Tribolium castaneum: one gene and its partners. The main gene of each other region encodes a partner of the protein of the gene in region 2 in a complex. Links are inferred from orthologs where the notes say so. Each region holds a gene or a part of one and is shown on either strand. Other genes may lie near its edges. The genes, in order: GAA1, PIG-T and PIG-U.

Evidence for each region.
Region 1: the proteins of PIG-T (region 2) and GAA1 are in contact, whole or in part, in a cryo-EM structure (PDB 7W72), measured with the Homo sapiens proteins. The link is inferred for Tribolium castaneum from reciprocal best matches to the Homo sapiens genes PIGT and GPAA1. Residues at the interface, in NP_057021.2 of Homo sapiens: Gln91, Gly92, Phe93, Arg95, Arg97, Tyr98, Ser108, Phe211, His212, Thr213, Ser214, Asp247, Phe249, Ile250, Arg340, Gln355, Tyr357, Val358, Ser359, Gly360, Tyr361, Gly362, Leu363, Leu371, Tyr373, Lys441, Asp459, Pro460, Asn461, His462; in NP_003792.1 of Homo sapiens: Arg97, Ser98, Val99, Gly100, Glu102, Tyr104, Arg134, Ala135, Pro136, Arg137, Ala138, Ala139, Ser140, Thr141, Glu142, Arg171, Gly172, Gln173, Ile174, Tyr199, His200, Asp201, Val202, Leu212, Gln213, Gly214, Arg215, Ala218, Arg311, Tyr312.
Region 3: the proteins of PIG-T (region 2) and PIG-U are in contact, whole or in part, in a cryo-EM structure (PDB 8IMX), measured with the Homo sapiens proteins. The link is inferred for Tribolium castaneum from reciprocal best matches to the Homo sapiens genes PIGT and PIGU. Residues at the interface, in NP_057021.2 of Homo sapiens: Tyr361, Gly362, Leu363, Gln364, Lys365, Arg394, Leu395, Tyr396, Val397, His398, Tyr416, Pro418, Ala419, Gln420, Asp421, Arg422, Gln445, Glu447, Leu450, Leu451, Lys452, Trp453, Thr454, Pro518, Thr519, Pro520, Asp521, Phe522, Ser523, Met524; in NP_536724.1 of Homo sapiens: Glu30, Lys42, Arg43, Val45, Glu46, Ser49, Leu50, Leu53, Val55, Ser59, Gly60, Ala61, Val62, Pro265, Asp266, Leu267, Pro269, Leu273, Trp275, Tyr276, Phe277, Phe278, Ala279, Glu280, Met281, Phe282, Glu283, Phe289, Phe293, Asn296.

Annotation. Positions count from the first base shown.
Region 1 is NC_087396.1:13,608,194-13,614,685, forward strand, and holds GAA1 (glycosylphosphatidylinositol anchor attachment 1 protein), read right to left. Parts: upstream 3,615-6,492; 5' UTR 3,459-3,614; coding exon 3,099-3,458; intron 3,049-3,098; coding exon 2,889-3,048; intron 2,502-2,888; coding exon 2,107-2,501; intron 2,060-2,106; coding exon 1,846-2,059; intron 1,682-1,845; coding exon 801-1,681; 3' UTR 766-800; downstream 1-765. Other genes in the region: zinc finger protein PLAG1, read right to left, coding at 4,751-6,355. UniProt on the Homo sapiens protein: Component of the glycosylphosphatidylinositol-anchor (GPI-anchor) transamidase (GPI-T) complex that catalyzes the formation of the linkage between a proprotein and a GPI-anchor and participates in GPI anchored protein biosynthesis. Binds GPI-anchor.
Region 2 is NC_087398.1:2,633,655-2,639,970, reverse strand, and holds PIG-T (GPI transamidase component PIG-T), read right to left. Parts: upstream 3,449-6,316; 5' UTR 3,307-3,448; coding exon 3,138-3,306; intron 3,089-3,137; coding exon 2,755-3,088; intron 2,710-2,754; coding exon 1,506-2,709; 3' UTR 1,429-1,505; downstream 1-1,428. Other genes in the region: CD109 antigen, read left to right, coding at 1-616, 665-948, 998-1,200. UniProt on the Homo sapiens protein: Component of the glycosylphosphatidylinositol-anchor (GPI-anchor) transamidase (GPI-T) complex that catalyzes the formation of the linkage between a proprotein and a GPI-anchor and participates in GPI anchored protein biosynthesis.
Region 3 is NC_087396.1:9,927,683-9,933,535, reverse strand, and holds PIG-U (phosphatidylinositol glycan anchor biosynthesis class U protein), read right to left. Parts: upstream 3,208-5,853; 5' UTR 3,036-3,207; coding exon 1,707-3,035; 3' UTR 1,661-1,706; downstream 1-1,660. UniProt on the Homo sapiens protein: Component of the glycosylphosphatidylinositol-anchor (GPI-anchor) transamidase (GPI-T) complex that catalyzes the formation of the linkage between a proprotein and a GPI-anchor and participates in GPI anchored protein biosynthesis.

The DNA of each region.
Region 1 (6,492 bases), on a different chromosome or scaffold from region 2:
AACATTTTCTACGTACATTACTAGGTGAAGTGAACAGTGCATGTTTTGGAGTTCTCAATAGACATGTAGTCTAATATTAATAAGTATACGATTTTTTATTTTTGTGCAAAACCTCATTTTTAGAAATTACACTAATTTATAAAGTTTTCAATAAAAAAGCTTTAAAAATATAATGAGAATATGTATTTAACGGTTGAAGTGAAAATTAATGTGTTATAAACAAAAAATACTTTTATTTGTAAAGAACAATTGCAGGTTTTGCATTTTTGAAATGAATATATTTATTGTTTTTCTGGTTATCGCCAAAGTAGTGCGTGAATGTGATTTTCAAGAACATTTTTATAACATATTGGATAAGTATTTTAATTATCATTTGCATTGCGAATTAATCCCTTAATTAAAACAAACCTGTTTGAATAAACATTATGTTCAGAATTATTAGTGTTTATATGCGGTAAATTTTTCAGAAAATAAATATTTCGACCAATACCGGTACTAATTAGCGGCAAATTGTTTTTCGTTTTTCTAAACAAACAAATCTCATTCTTTCTAACAAAAAAAATCGATTTGGCATAGTTGAAAACAGCTCCCCACTCCTGCCGGTGAAAGCGGAAAAATTAATCTTAAACAGCCGAATTCCCTCATTTGCTGCAAGTGAAATGTGTCAAGGTTCAACCTTTTATAAAGTTTGCTTCCCAATTTTCCACCCAGAACTTAATAAAACGGTTGAAAGGTTTAATGGAGTGTATAATCTCAAACAAGTGATTAAAAATCCAACACTTTATTAAAAAAAAGTACATTTAATCGATTTTCTTCTTTGGAATGTCCTGCGGCACTTTCGCAAACGCAACGATCCAGAAACACAACCAGTTGGAAATAAAAACACTAGTAACGACGCTAAAGAGCCAATTTCCATAAATCATAGAATCCACTATACTGAAAACGATTGCCTGTTGAGTCGCCGCTACGCCCCTATGAAAATTATCTTCGAATTTTTCACCGGGGAACATGAAAAATGTGTATACTAACACGGTAGCGGTAAGCACGACTAGAGGATGTGCCAGCAACCACACAATTTTTTTGATGGCAGAGCATAGCCTACACCGCGTAATCCCGATAATTAGAGCCAACGGTACATAAATAATGGCGCAAAATAATGCCAGAGAAAAATTATTCATGGAAACGCAAATTAAAGTTGTGCCTAATTCCAAAAGCGATAAAATATTTAACACCGACATACTCTTCTCGCAAGCTTTGAAGGGGATAAAAAGCGGCATTGTTAGCAACACCACAGATATGGCTATAAACCCGTAAAACAAAGACGCATCGGTTGAGTAATTATATTGGCCACCTAGCGTCGTTAATAGCTGAGGGCTGTTCATAATCAATACCCCCAGAACATGAGACATTAGAAATACGCAAAGGATTGAAATAAAGTTAACGGAATCGGGATCTGGAGGGTTGTGAGTTTGAATTTCGGTCTGGAATCGCGTTTCCATTTCTTTCCAATAATTTTTCGAATCGCGCGGTTTCACGCTGCTCTTGACTTGTTTTTTCGTCTCGGGGGTTTTTGTCTTCTCGTCTTCCGTCTCCGCTTGGTTCTCCTGAAGTTGGCACCAATTGGCGCATGCTTTGATGAAGAGAGCCCCCGCAATCAAACAGATAGCAGGCATGTATAGCCCTAAGTTCAGATGTTTATTAGACCCCTTATTTTTGTACAAAGTGATCAAAATTCAATGTGATATCACGTTTACACTAGGGCCAACTAAAAATAACTACTGCCAACACAAACAATTACTTTTGACCACTTTGTATAAAAAAAATTGTGCAAAAAAAGTTATTTACCAATTGAAATAAATCTCTCTGATGAAGGTAACAAGTAGAAGAAAAAGCTTTGATGGAAACGCTCTAAAAGGTTATTCAAGCTACGGAATATCCCTTCAATAATGCGGCCCACAATTGGGAATCCGGCTTTATTGCCCCCTTTTAAGGGGGTGCTTTCAAGAGTCAGGGCTTCTATGCCAAAACGGTGATAAAGGCCATGATTTCCATTTGGTATCTAAAATTTTTTACTTAAAATTTTCTCACACAATAAGTGATGTGTACCCCGGTAGCCTGAGTTGAAATCATGGCTAATAAAGTCTGGAATGAGTAAAACCAGTCGTTTACGGGATCTTTCAAGTGTTTGTTGGGCCTGTTTTTAAAAGTATGCGGTACTCCCTCTTTGAGCAGCATTTTAGCGGCTAAGTTAAACAAATCCAAGTTGGGCAGTTGACCATTTAAACCTTCAATTTTGATATCCACTTGGCTAATTGCCGTTTCGTGCAATTCTAAATTAATAGCGGCTTGTATGGCACCTGCACGTCCCTTAATGTCACCATGGTCTAAAGTACCGTCATTGCCACAGGCTACTCCATGGTAGGCTTCCAGCCAAGCTTGCATTCCTAACTGCTCGTGTTCAGTAATTAAAAATATAATATCCTTGGCCCAATATTTCTCTCCTAGAAGAATATCCTGAAGGACAAATGCATACACAAGTACACAAGTGTCTAGAAAAAAACGCCAAAAATTTGAAGGAGCGATGCCGTAGGAATTCCTAGACTAAGGACTCCCACACATTAATTTATTCATGATACTACATGTACTACATGTAGATTTTCTAAACCAAAAAAAAATAAATAAAAAATAGTACGACAGAGTAAAATTAATCTAAATCTAACTCGTGTCTTAATAGTCATCATTGCAATGCTCGTTGATTTAATTTTAATAATTTTATAAAAATTTAAAACATGGGTACCCATTAGAGATTTTTCCGATATTAATTTAAAAAACCACCCCCTCATAACTTTTGCGTTTTTCCCCGCACCCTGAACAATAAATCGACATACTATTGGCAAACTTGGCAAATGCCAACATTATGGCAATGGAAGGTGCGGTGGTGGCGTGGACGCTCAAAGGGGGTCTATATGGCACACTTAAGACTAAAGCTTCAGTGCTGGAAGCCCGTGCCGCTCGTAAAATACCATAAACGTTTTTACCAACAAATTTCTAAAAAAACATTAAATATTCAACCGCCAAGTTTTGTTAGAAGTAATTACTTGGGGTTTTCCCAGCGGATAATTCAGTGTAAAGTTGTGAGTGTAGGTATCTAATCCAATTTGCTTCATTTTGGCTAAAAGCCAGGGATACGGAATGGAGTCTTCGTATTTCTTCATTTCGTCCAAAAGCTCGCTGTGGTAAGTTTTTGCGATTGCGTCTTCCCGAAACTCTGATTTGACGAGTCCTGGCAAAAGGGCGTTTTCGGAAAAATACGTCCCTGCGTTCATGGGGGTGTACGCAAGGGAACAGAACCAACCGATTCCGCCTATGTATAGCAAGACACATAGTTTTGTGTAATATTTAAGAAGGGCTTTGGTTAGTTTTCCCTGACCGGCACTGGGATCTGTTAGCAAACCCATCGTGACTTAAACTTTATCCAAAAAAGAGCTGGAATTGAAACTTCACAGTCAAAATTAGCCACTAATTACATTACAGGAGCCGTTTAGATAATTTTTGTTTACATTAACATAACCTTAGAGTAGATAACTTGACGTTTGGTTGCTACCAACGCAACTGTCTAAAAAAACACCAGCGGTTTAAAACTGCCCGCCTTTGAAGCCACAAACGAAGTGGCCAAGATAAAGGGGTAATTTTAAAATAAACTCGGATGTGAATATATAAATAATACTATAATTTCATGTATAAAAATAAAATGTACATATTTTAAAATAGACTCATATGAATAATTATATACATTGGTAAAATATATTACTTTTTATAATATACAGTATGTATAAAAAACTATGTTTTAACATCATACAGATAGACTTACAACTATGACTAGCTGATTGTACAGCAATGAATTGTTGCAAAATGAGGTAGATTATTTCATTAGTATCGGAAAATGTAAACTGAAAGAATTAGTGTGTCATTGACTTTTGGCTACGTTGGATATCACACCTGTTTCATAATAAATTAAATTTAATTTAGCCACGAGTCAATGAAATTTCCAATTTTGTACTTGATCGTGTTAAGTGGTGAAAGTACTTTTTACAGATATGCTTGATTGGTAAAATTTAACAATAGAAAATATCTAATAATTCTCATAGCATAACAATAATATACAATAATTGTCAATTGTTTTCAGATGGATTTTAGCACCAGTGGTAAATAACTTTGGAAACAATTTAACAAATAAATATAAATTTACAACACAACATATTAAGTGTTTCTCAGATCAAATTATGCCTAATATCGTTATAACAATTGCACGTAGCATACAATTCAATTATCCCGTTCCACGTAAGTACTCCTTTTCTTCTCAACCGATTATGTGAAACTCTATTGTAACATAATTTTGAGTAAAAGTCAAACAGCTGTGCAATTGTCGAAACAAACGTAAAATAATTTAGCAACATAAACAATATTTTTGTAAAATCTCAATAACGTTATTAATTTTTGGCAATATTCACACGTTAATGAGCTGCCTAAATGAATAAAGAAGACGAGAACAATTTTAGCAAGACTAGAACAATACATGTTTGAATCTGGTTACGTATCCTGGTAACTTTTTTGGAATTGGTGAAAATATTGCCAATCGAAAAAGGTTATAATTTCAGTTGGTAACTTAACATACCATACAATGATAATTTAGCTGTGTGCCACCTATTTTACGAACACAATTATGGTATGCATATCTTGTAGAAAGATATTACGGAGGAGGTGGAGGAGGAGGTTGAAAAGTTTGACTAAACCCGGGCAGAGGTAAATTTTTATCTTCCGACGGTTCTAGCAGTCTTTGTAATTCAGGATTATTTAAAACACTTTGACCTAGTATTTCCTCGTCAGGGTCAGTTAAACTCTCTCCTATCATCGAAGGTTCCCCAATTTCCTCCAAAATCGTGCTTCCCAAGTCTTTTAGTTCTTCCTGTGACTCCGGCGAGGGCAGAAACGTTAAATTCCCCTCCGTGTCCGGCTCCAAAAACCGCGTCAACGGATCGAAAGTCTCCTCTTGCAATATGCTACTCACATCTTCAAACGATAGATCAATTTGTTCGGGATTTGAAAGACTGCTTTCGAAAAATTCGGATTTGATCTCCGGGTCGGTTTTAATCACTAATTCTGGCTTGACGATCGTTTCTGGAATCTCACTTTTAATGGCAGTTTCGAAGTCTTCCGGCGGTACGTTTTTCGAATGTGACTTTTTAATGTGTCTAACTAGATGGTCCTTCCGGCCGAACCTCTGCGGACAGAACTGGCATAAAAAATCGCGCATGCCTGTGTGTACAACTAGGTGTCGTCTGACGTCCTTTTTCGTGAAGAACTTTCGGTCGCAGTGCTCGCAAGTGAACTTCTTTTCGTTCGGATTCTTGACGGTTCGGCTCCCGGCGTGAATCTTCAAATGGTAGAGGATCTCCTCTTTCGTTGAAAACACACTCGAACATATCTGGCACTGTAAGCTGCCCTCTTCGGCCGCGTGGAGCGCGAGGTGTTTTCGGTAGCTCATCAGCGACGTGTACTCCTTTTTGCAATCGGCTTTTTCACAAACGTACACCTTTTTACTGGGACTGTGGACCTTGATGTGGTTCTTAAGGTGGTCTTTCCTGTGAAAAGTCCGTTCACAAACTGTACAACTGAACGGTTTCCGGTCTGAGTGGATCAAGACGTGTCTAACTAACTTAAATTTTGAACTAAACGACTTCTTGCAGTGCTCGCATTTGAACGGCGACGTGCCCGAATGGATCTGTTGGTGCTTTGTTAACTTATCAATGGTGGCGAAATTCTTCTGACAAACGGGACACGAGTGGCCCTTTTTCTGGATCTGCGACGACTTCTTTGTTCTTTTCACGCTCAGTTTCGTCTTCGTTTTTTGCGTTTGCAGCCCTGAAGGTCCCGGTTCGTCTAAGCTGAGGAATGTTTTCGGTTTCGGTGTCATTACCGGATGATATATCGTTTGCAAGTTCTCTGAAACGCTCGGGTAGTGCTTTGTCTGGGTGTAGTAGTCTTCCATGTGGGCTTGGCCTAGCGCCCCCATGGTCGTCGACTGGAAGGTCTCCGGTTTTCCTGCGGTTTGAGACAGTGACGGGTGGATGTTGATGGCAGCGAACGTCTCAAATTGCGGTAATCTACTGATCATCCCCATTGTGGCTGAAGTGCTCGGCTGTGGCAGTGGAGGAATTACTGGACTTTCGGCTGTTGGTGTCGATGTTGAAGCAGTGGCTGCTGTTGTTGTGGGAGAGACGCTTTCTTGATCGGGATCCAGCTGGCTTCCTTGTACTACCTTTCCGATTTTCGCCTTATCGCCTGGTGTTCCCATGGCGATACCAGTATGGGCAACATCATCTACGAAAAAACAAACCTTGCTCACACACTACGTCACCAGCTAAATTTCGAAAATTCTAATCACGCTGAATAATAGAATGCTGATAACATTGATAAAAACCTAATCAATTT
Region 2 (6,316 bases):
CTTTGTGTAGCTACACTCTTCAATTAGCCCGTCACCCGTCGAAACAAAGCGCTTTCAACTTGCTTGACCTCCGTTCAAAGAGCCGAGGCAACTTGAAATGGTGGTCTAAGGACGTCCCAAGTAACGAGATTAAAAATCCCTGGAACAAATTACCGCGTTCCATCGATATCGAGACTTCAGCCTACGGTCTTTTAACCTTCCTTGAGGCCAATTACTTCGAAGACGCAATCCCTGTCCTGAACTGGCTACTAGACCAGCAGAACAGTCTCGGAGGTTTCACCTCATCGCAGGACACTTTCGTGGGCCTTTGGGCCATTTATAAACTAGTCCTGAAGTTGGCAACTAACGTAAATATGCAAGTTGAGTTCACTTACGGCAAAGACCAGCGCCACAATTTCAACGTTAATAAAAACAACGCAATGATTGTGCAAAAACTCCAACTACCGAAAGACATACGTGAAGTAAACGTGACGGCTCAGGGCAAAGGCTTGGCCGTTTTTAGGGTCTCGTATGAGTATAATATGAACGTAACCGGGCCTTGGCCCATGTTTACGCTGGACCCACAAGTGGACAAAAACTCGAATAAGGACCACTTACAAGTGTCGATTTGCACAGGGTGAGTATCAAAGAAGTCAAAAAACTGGGATTAATTGAAAAATCGCAGATTTGTGAGTCGCAATTTGAGTGAAACCCCTGAAAGCAACATGGCAGTGATGGAAGTGAACCTCCCGTCGGGTTTCACCGCCGATATCGACTCCTTGCCAAGCCTGGAAGTGTCCCAAAATGTGCAAAAGGTCGAAACGAGCAACGGCCTGACTAGAGTCACCCTCTACTTTAACAACGTGTCAAGTGTAAACGAATACTGCCCGACAGTGTCCGCTTTTAGGACACATAAAGTCGCAAACCAAAAACCCGTCTCGGTTATTATTTTCGATTATTACGACAGTTGTAAGTTTAAGTTTGGTTTTAAATTTTTGGGCTCATTTTGTGTTGTTAGCGAGACGTGCCAGGCAATTTTACCGAAGCCGAACGTCAACTCTGTGTGATATATGCGAGGATGAGGACTGTGGTGATATTTGCACCTCAAAGGCGAACCCACAAGTCGGGGAGGACAGTCAGGAAGGCAAAGGCAGCTCGGCTGCTCTGCGTTCGAGTTGGTTGGGTTTCCTAGTTGTTATGTTTGCCATTGTGCAATTGTGATTGGTGCCGGCGGTACTTATTGACGAAACCTTTAACAAAATAATTCGCTAATACGTTCCTCAGTTTGGTAGAAAAATAGAATTGTTCTTGGTACAATTATAGTTATGTGTTACCAACTTTACCACGCAAGTGGTGAAAAGTGCGTCATAACATTTTACTAACACTACTAGTCACCGGTCTCAGTAACCCCTTAGTTGACTGAATTAAGGGTCAAGTGATAAACACAACTCCACTCTTGTTTTGTTTATTTTTATAAAAACTAGTCTTTGGATGTGAAAAAAAGATTACACTAATAAAATTCACAATTACTGAACACTTTGTTTCTCTTCACCTCCTCGCCTATCGGTCAAAACCTTGACGATCTTATTCTTGATTTTGACGATAAGTTTCTCGTTGTCTTTGACCGTCAAGACAAGTCTTTTGGTCGTGATGTTATGCAACGGACCGAAAGCTAAAGCAACTACGGTGCACGCTAAGCAGATTACGTTATAAGGCATACTAAAATCGGGCGTCGGTAACGTAATTACCATATTTTCGGTGCGAACTTGCACCAAGTAACCACTTCTCGAGGCATTGAAACTATCAGCGATCGTTGAGCCGTCTTGCGGCAAACCGGTAAAATTCCGCGCAAGCGGTAAATTAGCCGAAATTATTGCAGAGCCAATGTAAAAACCGTGATTGGCATCAGGTGGGTACTCTTGCCATTTTAGAAACACGTAATCAAAATCGACGGACACGGACGTAACGGAACGTGCCGGCAATTTCAACAGGAGTTCAAGGTGGTAAGGTCGCTCCCTTTGGCGGCCCGGAATGTAACGAATTTTCAACGGCTCGGCCTCCAAGCCGTTCACCTCAATTTTGAGCGTGTGGAGGTAAATAGGGACGTACCATGGTATATTTTGCAACACCACCACGTCCAAATGACTCCAATGGTTGTTGTAAATTTTGGTCACAATCCCTCCTCTCTCCTGGCCATAGCCCGTGATGTACTGATTGGCGTGGAGAGACGGGGGCGCGTTCAATAAAACACTCTCCTTGCCCAAAAAATTCGCATTCAAGCTCATGGCATACGGTCTAACTACGTATTTAGCGAAAGTGTTAACATGACCGCCACGAATCGACGTCACGTAATCGTCCGGACTTGGGGTTAATTGAAATGGAACACTGGTATTACTGGTGGTATCGATGTAAATTGTGCTGGTTTCGGCCAATGGGCACCGCCCCATCAACCCCTGACCGAATAATTTGCGAAACGACCAGTTTTTCGTTCCCAGAATTAAATAATCGTAAACAAGAGACACAGTTTGTTGCAGTTCTAACGACACGAACTCGCACGAACTGTCGCGACAAACCGGACGCATATGTATAGCCACTGAGTGATAGCGCGTGTTGTGAATATAACCTGAGTTTAGGAGCGAAGCTAAGCCGCTTTTCGATTCGCACGGTAACAGCTTCTTCCAAGGAGTCAGATTTTCCGTGCAGACGATTTCGCGCGGGAGACTCGAGTATCTGTAATAAAGTTAAAATAATTGTTTCCGAGGGGTGTGGAGTTACCTAACAAATGATGAATTTAAATTACTGCCTGAAAACACCCCTTTCGGCTTGAAAGTGTATTCGGGTCTAATACTGTTGGCCTTGTCTATAAAATTCAAGCTGGCGCACAACAAACCAGACAATGAGCTCGCCAGCAACTTCCAGTTCTGGTCCACATCTTCCGTGGTGTCCTTAAACCAAGCCCACACTTCAGCCCCAGGAGCAGCGTCCAAAATCGGGTAACCCCAAGTCTCATAGCGCCACAAGCCGCCAGTCAACGACACGTGGAGCTCCTGTACGTTGTATCTTTCGACTATTTCGCCGAGGGCGCGGGGGAAAATATGAGTGTGTCTGACTGTAATCACCACAATCAGGGATTATTTCACACGATTTTGATAGCTTACATGTTTCCTGTTCCGGATTTGTATCCCATTTGGTAGCAAAGTGGAAATGGACGTACAATTGGTCGCTGTACAGAGGCTTGATGAAAAGTTCTTCGGTGAATTTATCCGGTTTTGAGGTTAAGACACCGAATGGCGAAAATATTAGGACAAGTAGCGTGGGAAGGAACATGTCGCTATTTACATTTCCGTCCAAGGGCTATTATGAACGCAGTGTTACGCGGAAATCGCGTTTTTATTCATGTACAATCGACTTTTTGGCTATTTTTTAACCGACACTGACGTATCTTCACCATTTGTGAGTTAATTTTGACAATTGACGCTAAAGGCGGCCACACACTGACAGGGGATTCAAAATGAATTATTTCTCTTTGAAACTTTTTTTCCTCTACTATTATGTTAGATTAAGTTTGGGTCCGTAATAATATAAAATTTAATTAAGTCATTTAATTATTGCAAGTTTATAATTCACTCTGTGATTCCCTGAATAAGAACAAACTACATCTGATTGGTTTAATTTGGTCACGTGACCAATTAATCCGACTTTTGTGTCATTCAAAATGGCAGTTTTAAAGTGTCAAATGTAAAATTCCATTATGCCATGGCAAGAAAAAAATTGAAGCAGAAAAAGAAGAATAAACCGAAAAAGCCCAGTTTTCTTAATTGTTTTATTTGTTTAACAAACAGCGATGAATCCGATGATTCGGCAAGTTTGCCTGACAGACCTAAAGCTTCCAAAGCTCCAAAACAAGCCATAAAGCAGCTTCAATCCACATCTAAAATGTTGACTGCTCAACACGAAGTTTCGGTTACTTATCGGACCTCTTCATTCTTCGTGTTGAATCCTGAGACGGAGCCGCAAAATAAAGCACCCAACAATAACATGCTCTTGTCTCAGGCATATTTAGAAAAGCTGCAGAGTGATTCTAAAGAACCAGAAAAGAGTCCCCTTTCTGACAAAAAGTCTTCCATCAGTGTTGAAGATAGAGAGCAAAAAGACCAACTTGTGAAAACAATACTGAGCAAATATCTTCAAATAAAAAGACAAGAAATGTTAAACCGGGAACAAGACCATGTCCATCAATTTTCAAAACCTCCCCCGCCTCCGAAACATCCCCAGAAATTCAATTGCCTAAGGATGGACTGCTCGAGCGATAGTTCCGAAACTGTCCTTCTGGACACTGATCGTGAGGAAAGACCGAAAGCAGATTTTCCAACGAAGAGTAGAAGTGCCCCAACTACAAGCACAGCGCATGATAGTCTTGCTGATATTTGTTTTAAAATGAGTCGCTACAAACAACAAGACAACAAATCAGACAGTTACGTGACTTGTTGTAGCGAGGACAATGTAACTCCTCACAAAAAAAAGTTGGAGTTGATTTTCAATCACTCCTCTGACGAATTTTACTCTGTGGAAGATTCGCCCTTTGCTGTAGACTATGCAATAAGCTGTGAGGGCACCCCTGTTACTACAGGTACTCTCAAAGCAGATAATGCAGTAAGTTTCAACTCTGCGTTGCAGATTTGAATCACTGGCGGATTTTACTTGCAGTTGCAAAATGCTAAAGGGGAACAAAAATATGAAGGCGTGACGACGTGTCAAACTTTGACTCTGCAAGAGTTACATCTTAAACCGACAGTTAAAGATGAAGCAGACGATGTGAACAATTCTTCAACATCGCTCAAATGGAAATTAATTATATCACATCATGGCGATGAATAATTAATAAAAAACGTATTTTTTTCAAAAACTGTTTAATTATTTTGATTAGAAAGGTCCAGTGGGGGCAAGGATTGCGACGTTAAGACAAATTTATATTCATCGGTTTCGTGGAAAACGAAGAAATGATCGGCAACACTTGGCACACAAACACGCAATATTTGAATGAGGAAAAACATAACGACTGCCACCAGACAAACTCCGTAAATAATCATCAGTAGTATGTTTTCTTGCACATGTAGATCTATCAAAATTCGTGGATAATAAAAATTATTTGCGGTAAAATTAAGACTGACTACTGCAATACTCATCGTATAATTTCGGCGTACCGCAGTTACAATTGCCGTCACATTCCAGAAGTTTATGAATGCAGAAAACTTGGCCCTTCAATATGCAAACAATCTCGTTTGACGAACAGTTACCAGAAGTGCCCAAAACTTGAAACATTTATTTATTTTTCTTCGATAAAAGCACCAAAAATACATTTTCCTGAAGTTGCTGTTACTTTAATCGTTCCAAAAAAATCCCAAAAGTCAATTTTAATTGAAAAGTTTCTGTCACGGACCACATAAGCATGCATTCGATGTTGCAGTTCATTTTTAGTCTGATTTGGATTACTATCCAAATCTGCACAAACATCTCCGAATTGTAGACTGCCAGAAACCTACTTTTGTGATTAACTTTTGAACAAATCACCCAACTTTACCATAAATACGCCCCCGTTCATGGTACACGTATTGTACGTTTTATAATTGAAAAATTCCACCACCACTATGGTCATACATTTATCACCACAGCTCTTTTGGAACTGTGGTCTGATAATATCAATGGTGCAATTTCTGGTGTAGGATGGGACAGGTCGCAGTAAAACGATGCGGGCGTCTGAAGACCCCGTCCCATAAGGTAAATGGATGCTTGTGTAATAATTGTTTACACAATCTTCGGTCAAATCTACAAAAAGTGTTATGAACCGATTTTTTATATCATTTACCGATGATTAGTTTGTTGAGATTATTGCTAAATACACTGCCTAGGATCACGTGGATCAGTCCGGCAAATAAAACTGCGGTTTTTGCCAGTGGCATAACTTTGACAATTAACTATCCATAATTAAATTATTGAATTAAACATGTTGTCCTTGATGTATATTTATGATTCTGCCAGTGTATGTTTTTAGAGATGTACTGTTTTGTCTTTTATTTTCCGTTAAGGACCAGCTCAATCCGTGATTTTTTCCAGATCCGTCCCGTTTCCATAAGATAGGGGCTATATTTTTTTTGGAAGGAATTATGTGATCATAAGTCGTCCGCTATATTTTTTAAATGGAATTTTGAATTAAAAAATTATTAAATAAAATCAGTTTTGTTAGTTTATTATAACAGAGTTCAAGAGTAATAGAAAAAAAGAAAAAAAATCGTTTTTTCCGAATTGACTCTTTTATTTCGCTACATTTCGCAACTGC
Region 3 (5,853 bases), on a different chromosome or scaffold from region 2:
CAATCGCCAATTAATTAATAAAAGCGTTTCCACGTGGAATAAAAGAGCTTTCTTCGGGTTTATTCTGCTTGATTCTTGATAATTTTCTCGTGTCTTAAGCTGAATGAGGTTTGGAGTTGTATGTTGAATGAAGTTTGCAGGTTTGATTCAATCCGTGACGATTTTGTTTGATATAAAATGGGGATGAATCGAAATGTACCTCAAGCGGTATCAAAGATCGGCGATTTCGAGCTTAGGGCTTCCTCTTGTGAATTTGATTTAGATTAGGTTTTTCCCTGGTTGGTAATACAGAGAATTAACGATTTAATAAGGGTAAAACAATAGAAAAGTCCGCCATCTGGAATCAGCTTTCTCCCCTTGGAATTTGAGGAATGTGGTGTTTTTCAGGCCCTTGCTACCTGCTCTTTTGTTTCACATCCGGTGGTTGGGTAAAATCGTCTCTTCGAGGGTCGAAATGTGACGCAAAGAAGCTTCTCAACTTGTATTTTAAAACGTTGTGAGATTTTTGATGAAGAAAATAATTTAAATATTGAATGCTTGGCTCGTTAAATGGAAAAGAAAAAAAAAAAGAGAAAAAAAATTGTGCTGAAATGTTGGTTGCATAAGGTGTAAAGGCCCGAATGGTCTCAATTGAGTAGGCGTTTTTTCTTTCGGAGTGAGTTCAGTGATTGGTAAACTAGTACAAATTGAGGGAAAACTAATTAAATATTACTGTTCGAAACTTTATTATTTGATTCTTCAGCTTGATTAATTAATAAATATGTTAAAAAACTAACAAAGTCTACTCTAGTTATAAATTCAAATGACAATTGAGTATAAAATTTTGACTATCAAATTTGTGAATATAATTTGACAACTCAGTCTTTAATTATCACCCCAGGTATAATATGCAAATTTCGTAAGCTTGGATCTGGTAAATTTTACTTTTTAAGTTGGTTGCTGCTCAAAAATGTGTGTGTTTTGAGGTTATGTATTTAAAATAAAAAATGACGAAATTTGATTTAAAAAAAATTCTCCTTGATGAGGAAAGAAAAAAGATTTGGAAAGAATCAGTCGACCAGGAAGAATACGGAGAAAATGTGGAAATATTTGAAAAACTCCAGAAAAGAAATTTAGAAGTGGTCACGAAAAAGAATAAACGATTTGCGAGTAAACAAACAAGAAACGTGAGCAAAGAAGGAAAAATCAGTAAAAAAAAGGCCAAAAAGTGGAGAGAAGGAAACAGTGACACAAAATGTCCGGAAGTGTGTGTAAAAGAACTTCTTTTGCTTATTCATTGTTTAGAAAATAACACACTTATTACGAGAAAAGAGGCTCAAGATTGTATAGAACGTCAAAGTTCAGCATTTGACCTCTTCTGGGACTCACCAACACAGATCTTAAGACTTGTAAGAAAATGTGTTTTAACCCAAGAATGGTCAAAGATGACCTACCTTTTACTGGTGCTTTTAAATTTTGACAGGAAATACATTAATATTATTAAAAATGTAATGAATTGTACTTTTTATTACAATATTTATAACTACTTTAATTTCAGATGGTCAAAATTATGATCAAGTTTAATCCACTAATAAGGGAAAGTGGATTAGAAAACCAGTTCAAAATGTTAGTCGAATCATCAAACAAGTCTATAATTATATAATAAATAAATAAAACAATATTTGTACAAAAGTCTTATTTATTGTGGTTAACATCTAGATCACAAATCACTCTAAAATCAGCAAGGCGTCCTTTCCATCAATCTTCCTCTCCTTGCCATGATTCAAACAAAACTCGCGCTTCAAATACGCGAACAAAATATCAGTCACAAGAAAAATCTGTGCAATGGCAAAGGCCAAAGTGACTCCGAAATAAAAGTTCGCATTTGCGGAGTTTGAATAAATCCACAAATGCCACAAAATCGGACCCAAAGCTGTCGTAATAAGAAAAATCACCCCAACTAAAAATCCCTGCTGGGAGTAATTGAACAAGTGTATGAAACAGGGCAAAAGACTCAACACGAACCCAACATCGCCCAGACACGGATACGACTTAAAAACAGAAATCAGACACAAAATCGCGAACGTTAGCAAAAACGGGTCTTTGCGAAATTTGACCGACAGTGGAATTAAATACAAAACGGTTGCGTTTATTTGAAACGAGCTGATGAACAAGTCGCGAAAGTGGTCGAACATTTCGGTGAAAAAATACCAAAACAAGCCAATATTTGGCTGCAAGTCTGGAACTGTTAGAATGAAACCGTACACGTTTTTCATAAATGCGGTTCCGTTGCTTAAACCAATCGAAATGGTTATAAAAGCCGCAAGTGTGGCGATAAACAAAATCGGGGTGAGAATCGCCCGAAATTTGCTTTTGTAAATTCCGTTAGAGTACAAAAACAGTGGGATAATTAACACAATGGGGTAGAAAGACATCATTGTGCATATTGCCAGAGACAGTACACTCAAAATAACGCTACCGCTTAACATACAGAACAAAAACAAAGCGATGAAAAAATTATGGAACACGACAGTTGACTGTCCAACGCAGTTAAAAATCGTGTATGGATTAAACAGAAACGCCGATGCGACAAAAACGGGCGAATTGACGAAATCAGAGCCCGATAACAGGAACTCCTTACTGTTCAGAGCATATTGTTTTTTATTCTCTTCTTGTTCAATAAATAAGTGAAACATGTATTTCTTCGCGACGAAATACAATACCACGGCCGTTCCCGCATCAAAGGCGAGAAAAATAGTCTTAATGTCCAACTTCCACCACTGTGTCAACACTTTATAAAATAATATTGTTATCGGAGCTTCATGAAGTAAGTCCCCTTCGTATGGATTGATACCTTTGGACTGGAGACAAAGCCCTTCGGACACTCGCTTCCAGGAGTTCAGAGGTGTAGATATTTCGATGTGGTTCGCAATTATGGACTGATATCTCGAAAACATGAGCCAATACCGGATACCAAGCCCCGTCAAGTACATGAATAAAACGGTTCCGCCTTTGTAGCAGTCTTGCTCACATTTTTCGGTTTTCCCATGTGCCATTATTTTACACTTTTCAGGGGCAGTTTTCGGAAATATTGGCGATTACCGGCCCACTAAATAATTGAATAAAGTGAGGTTAGTATCGTGACAGGAACAGGAGTGACATTGTGGCTAAAGCAACGAGCAATACAAACATGAACTAATTTGTGCTAAAAGTAAATGGAATTACATTGGCACATTTTTATTACAGTTTGAATAAAACAAAACAATGTTTGATAAATTAATGGTTACTGTACAAAAAACGTGGTTTTGTCCGCCTATAAATTAGTCAATCATGAATACGCGCGACTTGTCTCCAAGTTTCAATGCTTTTCTTCTGGCCGTTCAAAATTCAGATTGTTTGCAAAATTTTGACTCGATTTGCACGAAATTTTGCTCAAAAATAATTAATTAAGCAGGAAAAAGTGCTACTAGTCGTTTAAGGTTGACTGCTTTTTTTTGGTAGGATTGGAAAATTTGAAAAACTAGGAATCATTAAACAGCGAAGACGGATTTTGAATGCTCAGACAATTTTATGCCAAACAGGTTTACTTTTGACATCAATTTTTGGTTTTTGTGATCGTGATTAATTTTTTGATTAGTAGATAAATTAGTATACAGGTGCTCAAAAACTGGCGCACCAACTCAGTGGTACGTTATTGATAAGCAAGTGCAGATTACGGGAAAAATATTGAAAAAATTCCTAAAGTTATATTTTAAAAAATCTGGAGCTACAAACTTATTGTGTTAACTTCTTTAGTTTTCATTATTTTTTTATGTTTTATGTTTCATACCAGGTAATCGTTCCGTAACAAAACGATGAATAATTATTTTTAAATTTACTATTAGATTTTAGCAGTTTTTTTAATTTAAAAAAATTAAAATTTATCCAAAAAATCACAATGTGTAGATGTGCCAACACTGGGAATTATTTCCTAGGAAACCGTTTCAAAAATAATTTATTTTTATTGTTGCTCAAATTCTATTGCGATTATGACTGTTAGACAACGTTGCCACATATCATTTATCTAAAATCCGTTATTTATCAATAACTTTAATACAAAGAATTTTTTTACTATTTTTACCTTTATATGTAACCAGTTCTCTATCACACACCATTGAGTTGGTGCGCCAGTTTTTGAGCACGCTGTAGAGGCAAATTTTTGTTTTATTCGAATTATTTGTACCACTTCGCTTAATTGCCACAAATTTTTACCTAAAATTAAATAGTTTTCTAGTAAAATGTGTTACAAGTTGTTTTAGATTAATTTCTATTTTTTTTTAGTAGAATGGAAAAATTTAAATTGGTAGTATTTCATCTAATCGTATCCTAAAACCACGTTCCTTACAACAAAAATAAGAAGAGATTTGGGATCTTTAAAGAATTCTACGCCAAATAAGCATATTTTAATTAAATTTTTGGTTATTATAATATTGTTATTTTTTATTAATAAATAGGTGAGTAAAATAAACAAAAATTTTGACCAAACTGTTTTATTCGGATTGTTTGCACAAGTTTGATTTAATAGACAATAAATTTTACTTAGAAATAGATAATAATTAATTACTTAGTTGAAAGTGCAACAAGTAGTTTTAGATCAATTTCTATTTTAAAAAATTATTTTTAACGTGAAAAATCGGAATCGACAGTATGTCGTATAATAATATCGTTCTAGACTACGAATTATGACAAAAATGAGAACTGCATTAAAAATTGAGAATCCTCAAACACATTTACGTCATATAGGCCAAATTAATTTTTAATCAATTTAAATTGACCTAATCAATTTCCGAGTGTTGTGGTTTTGATGATCTTTTTTTATTTGTTGATAATAATAAGTAGATAGAAATTTTGACCAAGTTGTTTTATTCGAATTATTTGTATTATTTTGACTTTATTGCCAAAAAGTGTTGTTTATAAATGGATAATTTAACTAGAGAAAGTGCAACAAACCAGTTCAGAGATTTGTTGGTCGTGTATTTTAACCAAGTTGTTTCGGATTATTTGCTCAAATACGACCTCGATTTGCCAAGAGATAGATAAAAAAAACTAAGTTAAAAATACTATAATTGGTTTTAGATCCAATTTAAAGTTTTCAAGGACGAAAATAACGTATTTAGCTCGTCGTTTTATAAGTAAGAAACATTTTTTTCACATTTTATTAAATTATAACTCAGTTTTCTTTAGAAATTTTGCCCAAATATTTTGAAAATAGAAAATTAATTAATTTTTTTTTGACTTGTTCGAGCATCGTAGAATGTTTTTTAGTTTTTAATTTTTTTTTCGATTCTGATCACAAGATCAGTGAAATGTGGAATAGTTTTAAAGCAAGTAGAAAGATAAATGTAAAAAATTTAAGTTTTAGAGAGAATATTACGGGTTTTTTAAATAATAATAGTAATTGCCTTTTATTGTGCCAATTACCAACAATTAGGGCGATGTTCAGATGATTGTATTTAATAGGACTTAATTAACTAACTTAATTAATTTCGATCCATTCCGCTGATTTTTCAGCAAATTCACCAAAATTTTTAAAAAGAAAGCTAAACTTACAAATTAACATTGCTTGTTTTCGGCTTGTTTTGCAAGCATTATTTAAGGGTTGTAATATAATTATTTTTAACCACATTTTCTGGGTTCTTGGTTCATTTTTGAAGAATTTTTTTTCAAAAACAATTTAATTTTAGAAAAATAAGTAAAATAGCAGCAATTTCGACTTGATTTAGTAATTTTTCAACAACTAGTTTTAACGAGATTGAAACAGTTTTTACTTTAGAAACTTGCATAGACACCTGAAAAAAGCAAAGTAACAATTTTTATAACAAAATTTTGCAAAAT